3 linked regions of the Arabidopsis thaliana genome follow. The protein of the gene in region 1 purifies or fractionates together with the protein of each later gene. This does not show direct contact. Each region holds a gene or a part of one and is shown on either strand. Other genes may lie near its edges.

What was found.
Region 2: the proteins of NRPC2 (region 1) and LFR fractionate together in Arabidopsis thaliana (co-fractionation; one large-scale study listed by BioGRID). This does not show direct contact.
Region 3: the proteins of NRPC2 (region 1) and AT1G32730 fractionate together in Arabidopsis thaliana (co-fractionation; one large-scale study listed by BioGRID). This does not show direct contact.

What each region holds. Positions count from the first base shown.
Region 1 is NC_003076.8:18,255,073-18,260,114, forward strand, and holds the start of NRPC2 (nuclear RNA polymerase C2), read right to left. Parts: upstream 3,126-5,042; 5' UTR 2,981-3,125; exon of another isoform or gene 2,899-2,980; intron 2,675-2,898; 5' UTR 2,642-2,674; coding exon 2,616-2,641; intron 2,524-2,615; coding exon 2,427-2,523; intron 2,261-2,426; coding exon 2,139-2,260; intron 1,930-2,138; coding exon 1,837-1,929; intron 1,646-1,836; coding exon 1,573-1,645; intron 1,491-1,572; coding exon 1,400-1,490; intron 1,325-1,399; coding exon 1,272-1,324; intron 979-1,271; coding exon 914-978; intron 727-913; coding exon 621-726; intron 535-620; coding exon 424-534; intron 1-423. UniProt on the Arabidopsis thaliana protein: DNA-dependent RNA polymerase catalyzes the transcription of DNA into RNA using the four ribonucleoside triphosphates as substrates. Second largest core component of RNA polymerase III which synthesizes small RNAs, such as 5S rRNA and tRNAs.
Region 2 is NC_003074.8:8,162,166-8,167,264, reverse strand, and holds LFR (ARM repeat superfamily protein), read right to left. Parts: upstream 3,325-5,099; 5' UTR 3,251-3,324; coding exon 3,058-3,250; intron 2,961-3,057; coding exon 2,791-2,960; intron 2,708-2,790; coding exon 2,574-2,707; intron 2,477-2,573; coding exon 2,220-2,476; intron 2,021-2,219; coding exon 1,915-2,020; intron 1,822-1,914; coding exon 1,683-1,821; intron 1,592-1,682; coding exon 1,464-1,591; intron 1,376-1,463; coding exon 1,120-1,375; 3' UTR 915-1,119; downstream 1-914. Other genes in the region: AT3G22980 (Ribosomal protein S5/Elongation factor G/III/V family protein), read left to right, coding at 3,949-5,099. UniProt on the Arabidopsis thaliana protein: Involved in leaf and flower development. Plays roles in leaf development partly by associating with AS2 and repressing KNAT1/BP transcription. Required for the formation of anther cell layers and normal expression of genes that regulates anther development.
Region 3 is NC_003070.9:11,838,922-11,844,222, reverse strand, and holds AT1G32730 (electron carrier/iron ion-binding protein), read right to left. Parts: upstream 3,314-5,301; 5' UTR 3,147-3,313; coding exon 3,025-3,146; intron 2,732-3,024; coding exon 2,670-2,731; intron 2,387-2,669; coding exon 2,299-2,386; intron 2,081-2,298; coding exon 1,978-2,080; intron 1,876-1,977; coding exon 1,267-1,875; 3' UTR 915-1,266; downstream 1-914.

The sequences.
Region 1 (5,042 bases):
AAACCTTCCATTCTAAGAGCCATAAGTGGCTTCTATATCTTTATGCGTCACCGACCGACCAACGTTGCTCACAAGTGCATCAGACAATATGCATGGTATCAGATTTGAATATCATTATCTATGTATTATGACTTCTTTATGGCAACACGTTAGTATTGGGAGTTGAGTTTAAAAATTAGACATTCACCCTCCTACTAAAATTGTGAGAACAAAACAATCAACCACAAGGGTCACTGCTTCGTAGTTTACTTCGCAAATGAAAGAGATTCAAAAATTCATACAACAAACATTTACATCCATAGAACTACAGTTGCTTCTAGATCTAGAGTTTTATAAATGGAAAGGTTCACTCAAACACCAGTATCATTACGAAAAGACCATAAATTAGACACAAGATAAAAAGCAGGGGGCTATAGTACTTGCCTCAATAGAAGGTAAGAGTGACGCGCTAAAACGGGGATCCCTTCCAACCATTTGTACAATCTCTTGGTCGCTCTCCATTCCCATAGCTTTTAGGACAATTATAATTGGAATCTATGACAAAATCACATGCTCAGCCAATAAAATCCAACGCCGAAAGATCTACAATTAAAGCGGAGGTTGTCATAATGTATCTACACCTTTTTTACAAATCGATGAAGAAATAAATATATCTTCTCCTTTTCCATCTGAATAACTGTTTTGCTTTTTGTCATTTCGGTGCTGCTTGTGACGGATGCATTTATGCTGAAAATACGTAGTAAAAGAAAGAGAGTCAGTAAATAGTAAAATTGATAATTGGATAGTGGTGGGTAAATAACGGAAGAACACTGCTGGAGCATGATACAATGATTTGGCTTGACAATTAATGTATATGGGGATGCTTGCCATCAATATTACTACAGGGACCAAAATACTGTAAGAGATCACTTACTTCCCCTTTTTATCAGAATCAATAATAATTCTGTTCTTCGAAAGTTGTTCTTGTATCAACAACACCTGAAATGAACATCAAACACCAACACACGCAATGGCATGGCTTCAGGTCACGTAAAAAGGAAAGGATTCCATGACAAATCGGATAACTCTATTGACATAAGAAACTAAAAACCAAAACACGCCAATTAGAACGAGAACGGTGTTAACAGTTAAATAAACACACTATCAAGTCTGAACTAAAGATATGCAACAACACAGAACATGTATCCACTAAGTCAAAGTGCGGACTACTAGGCAATCTATAGACTCCATAAGATGCTGTGAGTAGATTGTATATACGAAGTATGAAGCACCTTCTCAGTTCCTTTAATGATGAAGTATCCTCCAGGATCAAGAGGGCACTCACCTAGAATCCAAATGAAATACAATAAATATGATGAACAAGAAGATGTAATGCTTGAAATAAGAGTACAATACAAACCCAATCTTGCAAGTTCCTCTTCGTCTTTTCCATGTAATACACAGCGGCAACTCCGCAACATAATAGGCATCCTTCCGATAATTACATTATCCTGAAATAAAGAAACATCATATTCAGCCTGAATTTTCCAATAACCAGCAGTTTGTATAATACATTTTGTTTTTCCCATTTACCTTTGCACTTTTTGCCTTGTTTCCATGACTTCCGTGAACATATTCTATATTGACAAATATTGGAGCAGCATATCTGATGATTAAAACAAGAAGTTTTAAGACATTTAACACAGCCAAGAGAAAAAAGAAAGTTATTGATGATGTGGAAGAATGCAGAACAACAGAAACAGGTGGAAAATGCAAAAGATATCACCAAATTCTAACTGCCCAACATATGCTCAAACATCGAACAACAAAAAAAATGTAAATAAAAGAACTCTTTACGTCATGTCTGCTAATCGGCACATGTGCGGATTAATATTTTCCACCGTATTAACGTTTATAATTGACGGTTCACCAACTCTGACCTTCTTAAACCTGCATTAAAATTTGGCTACGAAAGGTTAGTTTAGGAAAGAGCAGAAATCCAATAAATAGAACAATCTCAATTTATATATCAATGTTGTAGGACGATTAAAAAAAGACTTCAAAACACCAACGGTTCTACATACTGATTATGAAACAAAGTATATCAATATACATATGTAAAGAAATTGAGATAAAAAAGATGATAAAAAAAGTTTGACCTTAGGTAGATTGATGGGTCCACTGTGGATGTAATACGACTATTTGCCTTAACAATCTTATGAATCCCGACATTGATAAAGTAGTTGAAAGAATCCAGGTGTTGCTTCACAAGTCCTCTCACCTACAAAAACAAGACAATTACACAATCAAATTATGGATTACCTTTGCTACCAAGATTACATACATTCCAAGTAGTATCAAAGACTTTGAAAGTAAAGTAACCCAATTGCATTGTTTCAGCTATTCGTATAAAGCAAAAATAAAGATTTTTGTGTTCTGTGTAGTACCTTCAAGAACTCAGGAACGAGCTGGAATTTATCTGCAGTAGACTTGATAGGAGCTGAAAGCTTTTCCTTGTCAATGAAATGATCATCATTGGTCAAGCTGTTTCAATAGAAAGAGTAACATTAGACATATATCTAAATAGTTCAATTAAAATCCAAAATCAATGAAGAATTAACAAAAAAAAACCATACTCTAAATCTTCTTGATCAAGTCCCATCGCTCTTAACTTTGCAATTAAGCTGTCAGTTATCTGAAATCCATGGAGAAATATAATTAACATCAACACATCATAATCACAAGAGAATTAAACCACAAAAACCCAAATACTGAATCCTAGTTTTCCACAATTTCATCAAAATTCAAATAAAACCCAGAATTTCCCAGAAACCAGTCGTTTTGAGAATTGAAGACGAAGCATTGTGATTTACAGAGAAGAAACAGTAAGAGAAGTAAACCTAACGACTCTACGAGTACCGGAAATTTGTGGAAGAGATTGTGAGGGGATTTTCGTGTGATTTCAAAAAGGAGATTGAAGATGAAAATCGAAGAAGAGAACCTGCGATTCGAAGGAGATTGAAGCTGGAGTTGATACAGTCGCTTCGCTGGCTGAAGATTTTACACAGTCGAAGTCGGTTAAGGGAAGAGGTTTAAGAGACGGCGAAAGGGTTTTAAACAGTATCTTTGCGTTTATTACTTTTTTTTTTGTCATCCTTTGCGTTTATTACTTATTGGTATTTAATTCACTTTAGTAGTCCTTCTTTTCTTTTTACGTTTTGAATTGTTACCCAAACTTCAAAGTTGATTAATATTTGCCAATAACCACAATTGGCCTCTAAGGAGGGTGTATTCAAATTAGAATTTAAGAAGAGGCTCGGTATAGTTTAAGGCAAATGTCTTTGTTTTCTTTTTTTTTTTTTTGGCCGGAAAACGGGAGAAGTCTCCCGCTTTATTATTCATAACAAAAGAAAAAAGAACTATAACCGAACAAAACGTAACCTTGAGACCCCATTGGCATCTTCCAACAAAATCGGATTAACAATATCCGGTGGAAGATTAAAAGAATAGAAACCTAAAGGTAAAGAAAAAGCATAGTTCGCTAACCCATCCGCTAGACGGTTAGCCTCCCTATACACATGTGACACACGGACTAACCAGTCCCTTGATAAAAAAGCCATAGCACAAACGTACTAGGAACGACAGGGGGTGAGAGTCACTGATCCCTGAAGTTAAAAACCCCACCACAATCTCCGAGTCCACCTCTAGCTCCAACCTCGCGACCCGCCTCTCCCAAGCTATGTAAAGTCCATAGTAGACCCCCCACAGTTCTGCCAAAGGAGCTGTACAAATCCCAATATTAAGCACAAAGCCTCCAATCCAATTGCCTTCCTCATCCCGCAACGCACCACCTGCAGTCGCCTCTCCGGGATTCCCATGCGACGCCCCATCCGTATTCAGCTTGACCCAGCCCTCATTTGGTTTCCTCCATGAGACTTGTCGCTCTACCCGCACAATCTCCTTCGTATTCCCGGGGAGCTTTAAGTGAGCAGCTGAAACCTCATTTGCCAAATCCTTAATGAACCGTAGTCTATCCCGACAGCGGCCAACCTCTCCAAAAACATTTCCACAACGCCATTTCCAACCCCACCAAGCTGCCAATGCAAAAACTGTGGACCAAACACTGCCTCTCACCTCACCGTGGTCTCCCAGATTTACATACAACCACTCAAGAATAGACTTCTCAAAGAAAAGGCGCCGTTTGCTCACCGGGACAAGCCGTAGCCATATTCCTTCCATTGCAGGGCAATCTCTGAGAACATGGATAATAGACTCTTCCGCTCCCTTACAAACTTGACAGATGCTCGTGGTACTCAAATGTCGACGATGCCTTTCTTGATTCGTCATAATGGCTTGTTGTGCTACTAACCAGAGGAAGAGTCTCACTCTCTCAGGCGCAGTCACGTTCCATACTTGGTCAAAGAATCTCTTCATATCTTGTCTCGGCGCCTCATCTCTAGTAAGAAAAGAATAGGCGGTGCTCACTTTGAATCTCCCATCTTGACTCTCCCCCCACGATATTCTGTCTCTAGCTCCCGTTATATCATCTAAAACAACCGATTGTAATTGTAATCTGTTATAAGAAGATATATATGGAGCTATCGCCGCCATATCCCAACCGATCCCATTTCTCCAAAGATCCCTAGCTCGCATTCCTTTCCAACCCGCCGGAAGCTCCTGAACCAACAACTCAGCTAGAGGAATATTTGTTAGCCACTTATCCATCCAAAACAGAATCTCCCGACCATCTCCAATCACCCAACTTAAGCCCGGGATTACCACCTCTCTCATACCCAACGCTACACTTCTCCAAGTCGATGAGCAGACGCTTCTAACTTTAGTCCAAGCACCATCCCGAACATCTTGTACTCTGTACTTACATCTCATGATTCTCGCCCATAAGCTATGATGATCCTGAATTAGACGCCATCCTAGCTTAGAGAGAAGAGCTTTATTCATATCCTGAGCTTTCCTAATTCCTAGCCCACCTTCACTCCTAGGTTTACAAACTCTTTTCCAGGAAATAAGATGCTGCTTCCTTTGAGTTACAGAGCTGCCCCATA
Region 2 (5,099 bases), on another chromosome or scaffold:
TCTTCCCCAACCACCAAATGTTGTTTTCTTAATAGACATGTTAAATAAAATCTCCCTCCTTCAACTTTACTCATACTATATAATGAACATATATTATACAACAAGGTAAAAAAATCATTATATACAAGAAAGTTTCAATAATGCGCTCCAAGTTAAAGATATCTCAATAGCATAAAGAATTTGATCGATACAAAATATACCGCTTGAATATCCATCAAATTAGCAGAAACAAAAAGAAAGATTCAAAGCCATCTCTTATCACTTCTATCTATACATTCATCTTTAACCACTAACTAATTTTATATCACCAATCAAACCATTTTCCAAATATATTCTTCTTATTGTTCTGATATTTTTCTACCAAATGTTTAGTGTGTGAATCAGTTAACCACTATCTTGTATGAACATAAAGAAAGAAAGATTGCAATAACTTGATTTTAGAGTTTAGTTTTGAGATGAGTTGTCTCGAAATACAGGTATGTGTGTTTAAAGCAACGGTTATATATTCTTTCAACTCCATAATATACCAAAGAAGAAGGTTACTAAAATCTTCACGAAATTCAAGTTTAGCAAAATATATGTGGAATACGCAATTAACGTTTGTAGAAATGCTCTAGTTCGCGTTGTAGAAAGTTGTTGGTCACAATTTATGGGTTAATTAGGTGGTTAATGGTTATGGTTGTTCAAAATATAATTATGTTCTACTATACGAACCGAATCCAAATAAAAATGTATAACAAGAGAAAACGTCTCCTCGTCTACAAGAAAAGACACATTGATTTTGAAGAAAGAGTAATAATAACAAAAAATGTAAAGACAAAACACTGTATTATGTGTGACTTAATTCTTGTTAGTTTATTGTATAGTATATGAATATGATTAACCAATACACTATTCTAACGTCAAAACGTGATTATTTGGGTTATTTTATTTTCAATTTGAATCACAAAATATCTCAAATTTGTTTTTAGTAAAGATCAAACAAAACACATGTCGAAGCTATGCGAGAGAAGAATCCATCTACTTTTTGTTCAACAACACTGCTTTTTTAATACATAGCAAATGATTAAAGTTTACAACACAATCAATTAATCAAACCCACTAATCTAGAGAAGACTTTTACATGCCCCAGATTCCTCTAGCTGAAGCAACTCTGCTATTAGATCTAGCAGTGAGTTCATACAAAATCCTAGCAAATGAATCAGAATACTTACCCTCTTGAAAAAGCAGCTCAGCGAAAGCATTCTCATACGCGAGTAGCAATCCTCTGTTTTGAGGCTCCGAGACAAGGTTCTCAAGGATCATTGCAGCTTTCCTACATACTTCTGGAACCGGATGCGGAGTCTTTATCACTTTCAGCAACCTATCAACCGCCCTGAAAAAGATCATAATGGTGTGTCATTGTTGCGATCTAAAAACAGTTTGATTGTATTCGATAGAGAGGGAGTATAGTTTTTGTTTACCATCTCTCACTTGCTAGCTTTAATCTGCAATCCATGTTAACTTCCACGAGATTGTAGAGTGCTCCAACAGCTGCAGCTTGTGCATCAACGGCTTGTATGCTCAAAAGATCGATTAGTCGCTTGTGTATCTGCAAGGGATAGGTCCATTGTTGGGTTTAAATACTAGTTAAAACGAGTAAGTAGCCAGAAACCATATGAAGATTATAGAAGTTAACAAACCTGCGGAATTAAAGGACTAATGAAAGGTTCATTGTCCGGATTGATTATCAAACGCCCTAGCAACTCAGCAGCAGCACAATTCCAAGCTTTGACAGAAGAATTGAGGATTCCGACCACAGCTTGAACAGCTTTCTTTTCACTATATGCACAAGAGTAATGAATGATTCACATTGGTATTTGAAACAAGTTATGGATTGTGTAACTAAGAATGCAGGGAGATACAACTTCTCACTTTATGTTGATGTATGACTGCTTAAGCGAGCTGAAAATTCGAAGATCCATCAAATGCGCTAGGTTTACAATTGTCTCTAGCGAGTTTGTGACCAGCTCTTCATCCTCTGTTAACAAAAGATTGTCTTAAGACCATAGTTCCCAATCAAGTATCAAGCAAATAAGGAAACAGAGAGAATACATTCAAGCCAATTCAAACCAATAAGAAATAAGAATCTATCAGAAGCAAATGTAAGGAATTATAACTAGTAAAAGAAACAAAAAGGTTGGGATTGTATGTATCAAAACATTAGTATTCTTCCTTACCGGTCATATGATCGTGTATGCACTGGAAAACAGTTTCTAAGCAATGGCGATGCTGAGCCATTACAACTTCATTATCAGGCATGAAGGAGAAGTTGCGGATAACGTTCGATGCAGCAATAGCACACATTTGTTTCTCTGATCTCCCTTCATCGTCTAGATTAAACAAACCATCCTCTTCCATCCACCACTGAGATGACTGATGTTTACCAGTGCTCTTTTTTCCTAATGCCTCAGCAGCAGAAGAACCAATCCCGGATCTGCTAGGCCAAATATTAACAACACTTAGGTTCTAATTCTAAATATAAGCAACAATCATTTAAAACTGTAATCAAAGCAGTATCGAAATTAGCTCACCCAGGGGGTTGAATAGAGGCTAGAGCATCATACTCATTGCCAAATCCCGTAACTGAAGCATTTGTACCTAAAGTTCTAACTCTAGTTCCTCTTGTCAGGTCCTTTGGGAGAGCTATGTCACGCCAATCATCTATCTGCCAAAGTTTTAGCATCATGTTGGTTCAAAGAACAGAGAGGAAAACACAATCCCAACACCTAAACAATTAAATAAACTCACAATTAAGAGAAGGGCATCAAGCAAGCCAGCTATCTTAGCAAGAGGCATGACATCTCTTCGAATATCTTCTTTTTCCTTGAAGGAAAGCAACGTAAGTGTGTTCAATGCCCATGTCACCTCACTCTTCAAACCACTCTGCAACGCAAGAACTATTCTTCTATTGTTCTGCTCTATAAATTCCAATGATCCCAATGAAAATTACCGATTAAAAACTCGTTCACAAGAAGAAAACAGAGAGGAATTATAGAGTGGTCATTGCGAGCTTACCGACGAAGGAATTGTGAACTAGAAGAGAAGGACCAAGTAAAGCTGACGGTGACATCGCGTCCGCTGCTGCCGCCGCTGCAGCAGCAGCAGCTGAGTTAGCACTTGTACTACCGAAGGGACGGCCTCTCTTCGCTGGTGGACCCGAAGATCCACCGGAATTACCGCCGGATTTCCCAAGCTCCCGTTTCTGCATCTCTCTCTAATTTGGGGCTAAAGTTAGGGTTCGGAAATTTTGACCCGAAAGATTTATTCCGGTTTAAAAGTCCCAAGACGATTTAAAAATTAAAATTGTTTAAAGAGCACTAAACACTTTTTGTGAGTCAGAGGGTTTCGGTACAATTGAAATTAAAAACGTTTTAGACCGGTTTATTCCGGTTGAAGAGTCCGAGACTATAATTAAAATTGTTAAAAGAGAGCACTAAACCGTCTCTCTGGTTTACAGGGTTCCGGTTTAATTAAAATCAAAAACGTTCACGTCTTCTTGTATATGTTTATACAGACAAACTTGCAGAGGGAAATCGCCAAACCCTGCGCCGCCGTTGTTTCGCCGCCGAAGCAAGTTTCGCACCATTCTTCTTCAAACGTCTGAGCTCCATCAACTGATTAAGGTGATTTTTTTACATATCACTCAATTTTTGAATCGAACTTTTTAAAATATTATGGAATCTTCAAAGAGCATCTCTCTCGTTTTTATCTCTCTTTGATTCTTACGAGACGTGCACAACTCTGTGGATTCGATTCAAAAATTCGTGAGCTCTCACACAAGGTTTTAGGATTTGGATTATGTTTTGTTGAAGTTTTCTCTACTAATTTGAATCGCATCGATTCTGATAATGTAATCCTTGTATATATTGAATCTGCAGGTAGCTGTGTGTTTTGTAAATTGAAGAGATGGATGAATCTGAAGGTAGGAAAGTTAGGAACATATGTATACTAGCACATGTAGACCACGGTAAGACGACTCTCGCCGATCACCTAATTGCTTCTTCCGGTGGCGGTGTTCTTCACCCGAGACTTGCCGGGAAGCTTAGGTTCATGGACTATCTAGATGAAGAACAGAGACGTGCAATCACGATGAAGAGCTCTTCGATTTCTCTTAAATATAAAGACTATTCTTTGAACCTGATTGATTCTCCTGGTCATATGGATTTCTGTAGTGAAGTCTCAACAGCTGCTCGGTTAAGTGACGGTGCGTTGGTTTTGGTTGATGCTGTTGAGGGAGTTCATATTCAAACGCATGCTGTGTTGCGTCAAGCTTGGATAGAGAAGTTGACTCCTTGTTTGGTGCTTAATAAGATTGATAGGTTGATTTTTGAGTTGAGGTTGAGTCCTATGGAGGCGTATACTCGTTTGATTAGGATTGTTCATGAGGTTAACGGGATTGTGAGTGCGTATAAGTCAGAGAAGTATTTGTCGGATGTTGATTCTATACTTGCTAGTCCTTCAGGGGAGTTGTCTGCTGAGAGTCTTGAGTTGTTGGAGGATGATGAAGAAGTTACTTTTCAGCCTCAGAAAGGTAATGTAGTATTCGTGTGTGCTTTAGACGGGTGGGGTTTTGGGATTGCGGAGTTTGCTAATTTTTATGCCTCCAAGCTTGGAGCTAGTGCGACTGCGTTGCAGAAATCGTTATGGGGTCCTCGTTATTATATTCCTAAGACTAAGATGATAGTAGGGAAGAAGAATTTAAGTGCTGGAAGCAAGGCGAAACCAATGTTTGTGCAGTTTGTGCTTGAGCCTTTGTGGCAGGTTTATGAAGCTGCACTAGATCCTGGTGGGGATAAAGCCGTTCTTGAGAAAGTTATCAAATCTTTCAATTTGTCTATTCCACCACGCGAACTTCAGAACAAGGATCCAAAAAACGTGCTTCAATCGGTGATGAGCCGTTGGCTTCCTCTGTCTGATGCAGTCTTGTCTATGGCTGTGAAACATCTGCCAGACCCCATTGCAGCACAGGCATATAGAATCCCACGCTTGGTTCCAGAAAGGAAAATTATTGGTGGTGATGATGTTGATTCAAGTGTCCTGGCAGAAGCAGAGCTTGT
Region 3 (5,301 bases), on another chromosome or scaffold:
TGTTGTTGTTGATAGTTTGGTGACATTAATTATTCTTGGTTTTTCATCTCTTTTACTTTTTAAGTAATGGATACTATATATCATAATCCATAAGCAATCTGGTTAAAGTTAACAAAAACACATTAGTAGCGAATCCGGAAAGATGTAAAAGAATAATTTATCAGTAAATATATTTTTTATTCTATCTGAGAAAAAAATCATTAATCATGTAGATTCTAATTTCAAATATATAATAAAGCATGCAAAATAAATAAATTAATTAAAAATTTAACTAAGAAGTTTCAGATTTAAACCCATAATCTCTTCTAAAAAATGAATAATACATATCAATTTAGTTTCTTTTTCACCAACGGTGAAATCGACATTTTTTTTTATTTTTTGGAACTTCGGATGGTACATTGATGAAGCTACCAAAACCAAGTACTAAATGTGTTACGTATTATATAACTTTTTAAAATAAATACATAATAAAAATTAATATTGAAAATGATTACACAATTATCTTACAATTAAAAATTGTTACACCAACCCTTCGTAGAAATATTAGGTGGTAACAAAAATAAATTAATGATTATTGAGAGCTTAACTTATAATGAGCTCATTTGAGTTGTTTGATCCTCAAGTCCCAACCACCAACCCATAACCCATTCAACATGTTTCCAGTTGGTTTGCATAATGTAAATGAATACTACACACACGAGACAACCACAACATGCATATATGAATAAGATATATATGGTTGAAATTGGAAACAAACTAAACGTTATTTTTACTTTTTAGTTCCACAAAAACTTTTGGATATGTTTTGATCAATAGTGGAATTGGGGCAGCAAAACAAAACTAGAATCTAAGAGTTTGGTTTTAGTCGTTTTCAAATATACGTGTTGAAAGTGGCCTATGGATGGATGGATTCATTTTTTTCCAAAAAAACAAACCGGTCTAATTAGACTGAGCGGTTATCCAATACCAAACCAAACCAACTATTTATTAAGTCAAAGGTAATCCAATGAGCAATTTCAAATCTAACAAAGCAACAACACACAGTGAAAAAAATCCAATGAGATAGAATCAACAGCTTTATCCATGGCTGAGTTCTAATATCTAAATGATGCTCAACACTACTTTACAAGAATCTCTTGAGTCTTTGGAGTCTTCAGGATCAGTTTTGAGGGATGTTTGATCATTGTACAATACCGTGGTCACGAAGGATCTAGAAATTTTCTTGCCACTCAAACTTTTCAGTTCATCCACAGGATGTTCTCGACTTCACAACATTCCAACTTTGTCAAAAGATTGGAGATTCTCAGCGATTTTTTGAAGTGCTTCTTCACTCATCTCAACTTTTCGGACTACACCCGGAAAGATCTTGTTCTTCTCGGAAGCAGCAGTGGGAGAAACTTGACCACAGAGCTTTGATTTCATCTCTAAGCAAGATTTGAGATCCTCTTCGGTTCTTGCTTTGTTCAGTTTATCGATTATTTCATTCAAAGCTGAACCTTTCTCTTCCCATTTCTTTCTTTTGACCCGCCTTTTGATATCATCTTGATCATCTGAAGAACTGCCTAAATCCAGTCTCTTAAGCTTCACCAAACCGGCTTTGACTGTCTCCGCGATCCGCTTCTTAAAGCTCTCTGTTCTTGCAGAGTTCGATCTCAGCCTCAGTTTAAGCTCTGAAACAATATTTTCCTCTTTGTTTTGCTCAGGAGCTGCTGTTCCATGACTCTCTTCATCAGGAACAGATGTAAATGAAAATGCTTCTTCGAGTAAATTCACATTACTCATGTACCGATCAAAAGCTTCATTTTCTACTTCAATGTTTCTGTCTCTGTACTCTTTTAGCTTTGTAAACCGCCACTCGTTTAAAGCTTGAGCATCCTATAGAATATAGACAGAACAAAAACTGATAAGAGGAAAACAACTAAATGGAGATTTTTCATAGAGTACTAAAGTCAATGAAAGACGTCTTAATTAGTATACCTTTATCGTCAAAGGTTTTCTCTGGCGGGAAGAAGCATTCAGGTTATTAAACTGAGCAAAGTTGCTAGAAAGTTGCCGGATTGACGAAACTCTAGTGGTACTCCTGAAACAATTTCCAAAAGAAGAAAACGTCAACATAAAGCGCCATATTTTAGTTCCACAAGACCAATATATCATCTCACTATCAACTACGTGCAATAAAACAAGAAAGCTGAAGAATCTCCTATCAAAGTATTAGTAAGCAAACACCGGTTTATCATCTAAGATTCACTTGCCCATGGAAGCACAAACAAAACAGAAAATTAGTTTATATATATGTACCCGGGAGTGCCCTCGGTTGCTTTCTGCTCTGAAGATGGAGTACTTGGCGCCTGCGTCTTCTCACCAGACGTTGAAGCTACTTTAAGAACTGCAGCGAAATAAAACACATAAGAAGAAACACAAAACAGTCCATGATAACATCTCTATATCTCTCAGCTAATCACAAGCACATTCCAAGAATCAGTCTTATGGTTCTTTATAGGTTTTTTTGTCCCGAGACAACCAAACGAACCCTATAGAAGTCAAGAATACTAAACTCTAAACTTACCAAGTGAAAGAATAGAACTCTCCAATCAAAGTTATCAACACTAAACTCTAAAACTGATCACTTTAGCTAATTATGAAGTTGAGATTTGACAGGGCAAACATACCGTGAATCGGGCAGGGATTCTCTGCTCTTGAACAACAACCCTTACAAGATTGAAAAGGGCACCTGCATTTATCAAATCCAAGCAATACAATTACAATTACTTCACCAATAATCTCAAAAAACTGATCTTTCGATACTAAAGCTCAAAACTTTAAACAATCTCCAACAGATTAATCACCAAATCATGAATAAAAACCCAAACCCACAAACCTATGAACCCTAAATCAAAACGAAAAAGTACTATACAAGACAAATTCGAATCCTTTCAGATCAAAAACCCAAGAACAATCCATAAATCGAAACCCCAGATGTAAAAAACCTAAGTCCTTCGATGAAACAATGCGTAGAAGCAATACCTGGAGCGAGCTACATTGCCGCATTGAATACACTTAGGCTTATTGAGACCACGGAGAGTTTTGGGAGGCGTGACGACGGAGGAAAGACCATTGTTACTCAGAGACGGTGACGAAGTCGCCATTGATAAAAAGTAACGGTTTAAATTAAAACCGTTATTCAACGAAAGAGATAACTAACGACCAAATAAAACTCGTGCGAGTGAGTAACAAAAAATTTGGAATCGAAAGGATTGGTTTTTATTTTTTTTTGTCGCTCTGATTTTGCGAAGTGCTCTCAATCGCTCGATTTCACGGCGGGTCTAGGGCTCCGGTTATTAATAATACCACGTGAGTCGTTTTTATATGGGCCTGGGTTTTAAAGCCCAATATAATTTCTCTTTAAATTGAACCGAACTTAACCAAATCATGAACTTTATCCGGGATCAGACTTGTCAGATAAATCAATATAAGCCCAAAAAAAGCCCAAGTAATTAGGTTATTCTATCGAATCAGATTCACATATATATAGACGTTATTGTTCATATGAACAATAGAACATCAATCTAAATAATTTAGTGTTTGCCGTTTGGGCAAATCTTTTTCTTCCTCATCTCTTCCTTCGCTTTGCTTTAGAGTCTTTTCATAAGTAAAAGAAACAAAAACAATAAATCATTCTACTAATTGACTTGTAACTCGAAGCTTTGATTTGGACGTTACAAGTGGTATCAGAGCTTCACACTAGAAGCTTCTAGATAGAAGTCAATTTGGCAGACAAAACAATGCATTTAGATTTTGGTGCATTCAACTTCAGAGTGTTTTCATATTTTTATACTACTCTATACTATTTTGCAATTGATATCGCTTTCTAACTTATTATTCTGATGCATCGATCGCTATATGATTATATTGCGTAACCTTGGCTGATTTTGCAGCTTCAATATACTTAGAGTCAATTTTGTACTTGGCTGATTTTGCAGCTTCAATATATTTAGAGTCAATTTGTATGGACTTGCAGATTTGGATGGGTTAACACATAAAAATATAGTTTATACTTTATAGACATGATTATTTAATTAATTAGTTGATTTATCATTGGTTTTAGATTTAGTAGACTATGAGGACTGTCAAGAGTCCACACGACGATCAAACTAAACAACTCTGATGATAATAGAGACTACAAAACAAAACAGAACTGAACAATTTTACAAAACAACAATTAAAAAGTATAATTTAATCGGAATAATAATATTTGCTCACCAATATATAAATTTTAATTATTCTTCTTCTTTTTATTTATTTGGTAAATATTTAACCATCCATTCATGATTTAACGATTACAATCGAGATAAATACCATTGGATAACAAAATATTACGAAAGATTTCCTCACCAATTCTTCGCGACATAGTGAACGTACATCTCTCAAGTTGTTACTTGTAAATTGCAATCATTCGCATAATCTATGTTGCATGAAAACGGAAACGGAAATGCGGATACGAAACGTTTCGGAAACGGGAAACGATTTTTTCTTAAAATTAGGGATTGGAAACGTTTTGGAAACGTATACACATTTATACATATATATAACATTATATATATATATATAACATTAACATAAAACTATATTAAAGAAAAAATGATTTAAACAATACAAGTCCAAAATATCAATATTAAATAAATAAACTAAAATTCTAAAAGATAAAAATTAAAAGGTTCAAGTTCAAATAGTTAATTTAGACCAACATTTTCATTAGTTTTATCAAAGATAATATAAAGCTCTTTTCAAATCTGGTTTAACAAAAGAAAGATCTTAAAACTCAAAGTCTTCCAAAATTATTTATATGTAATAATAATTTTAATATTTTCAATTTTAGTTATTAAATTTTTAAAGTCAATAAAAAAGATTTGTCGTATGTCTATTTCGGAAACGTGAGTTTCTATTTTGGAAACGTAAGTTTCCATCGTGTTTCTAAACCTAGATTTTTAGGAAACGCGTTTCCGTGACGTTTTTCGTATTTCCGGAGAGTTTCCGTTTCCGAAACGTTTCGGAAACGAGAAACGCACCTCGGAGCGAGTTTCCATGCAACCTAGCGCATAATCTTGCAAAAAAAAACATTAATACATAGGCCTTGGTTATTTTTTAATCCAACTTCTCTATAAATTGAACCTGAACTTAAACCAAATCAGAAATACATAAATCGGTCGGTTTGTGAGGTATTAATCCGAGATATGAGATATTTTTTCTTTTTCTTGTTAACAAATTAAAGGAGCAAGAATCGTCCTTATCAAGTAAGGACTT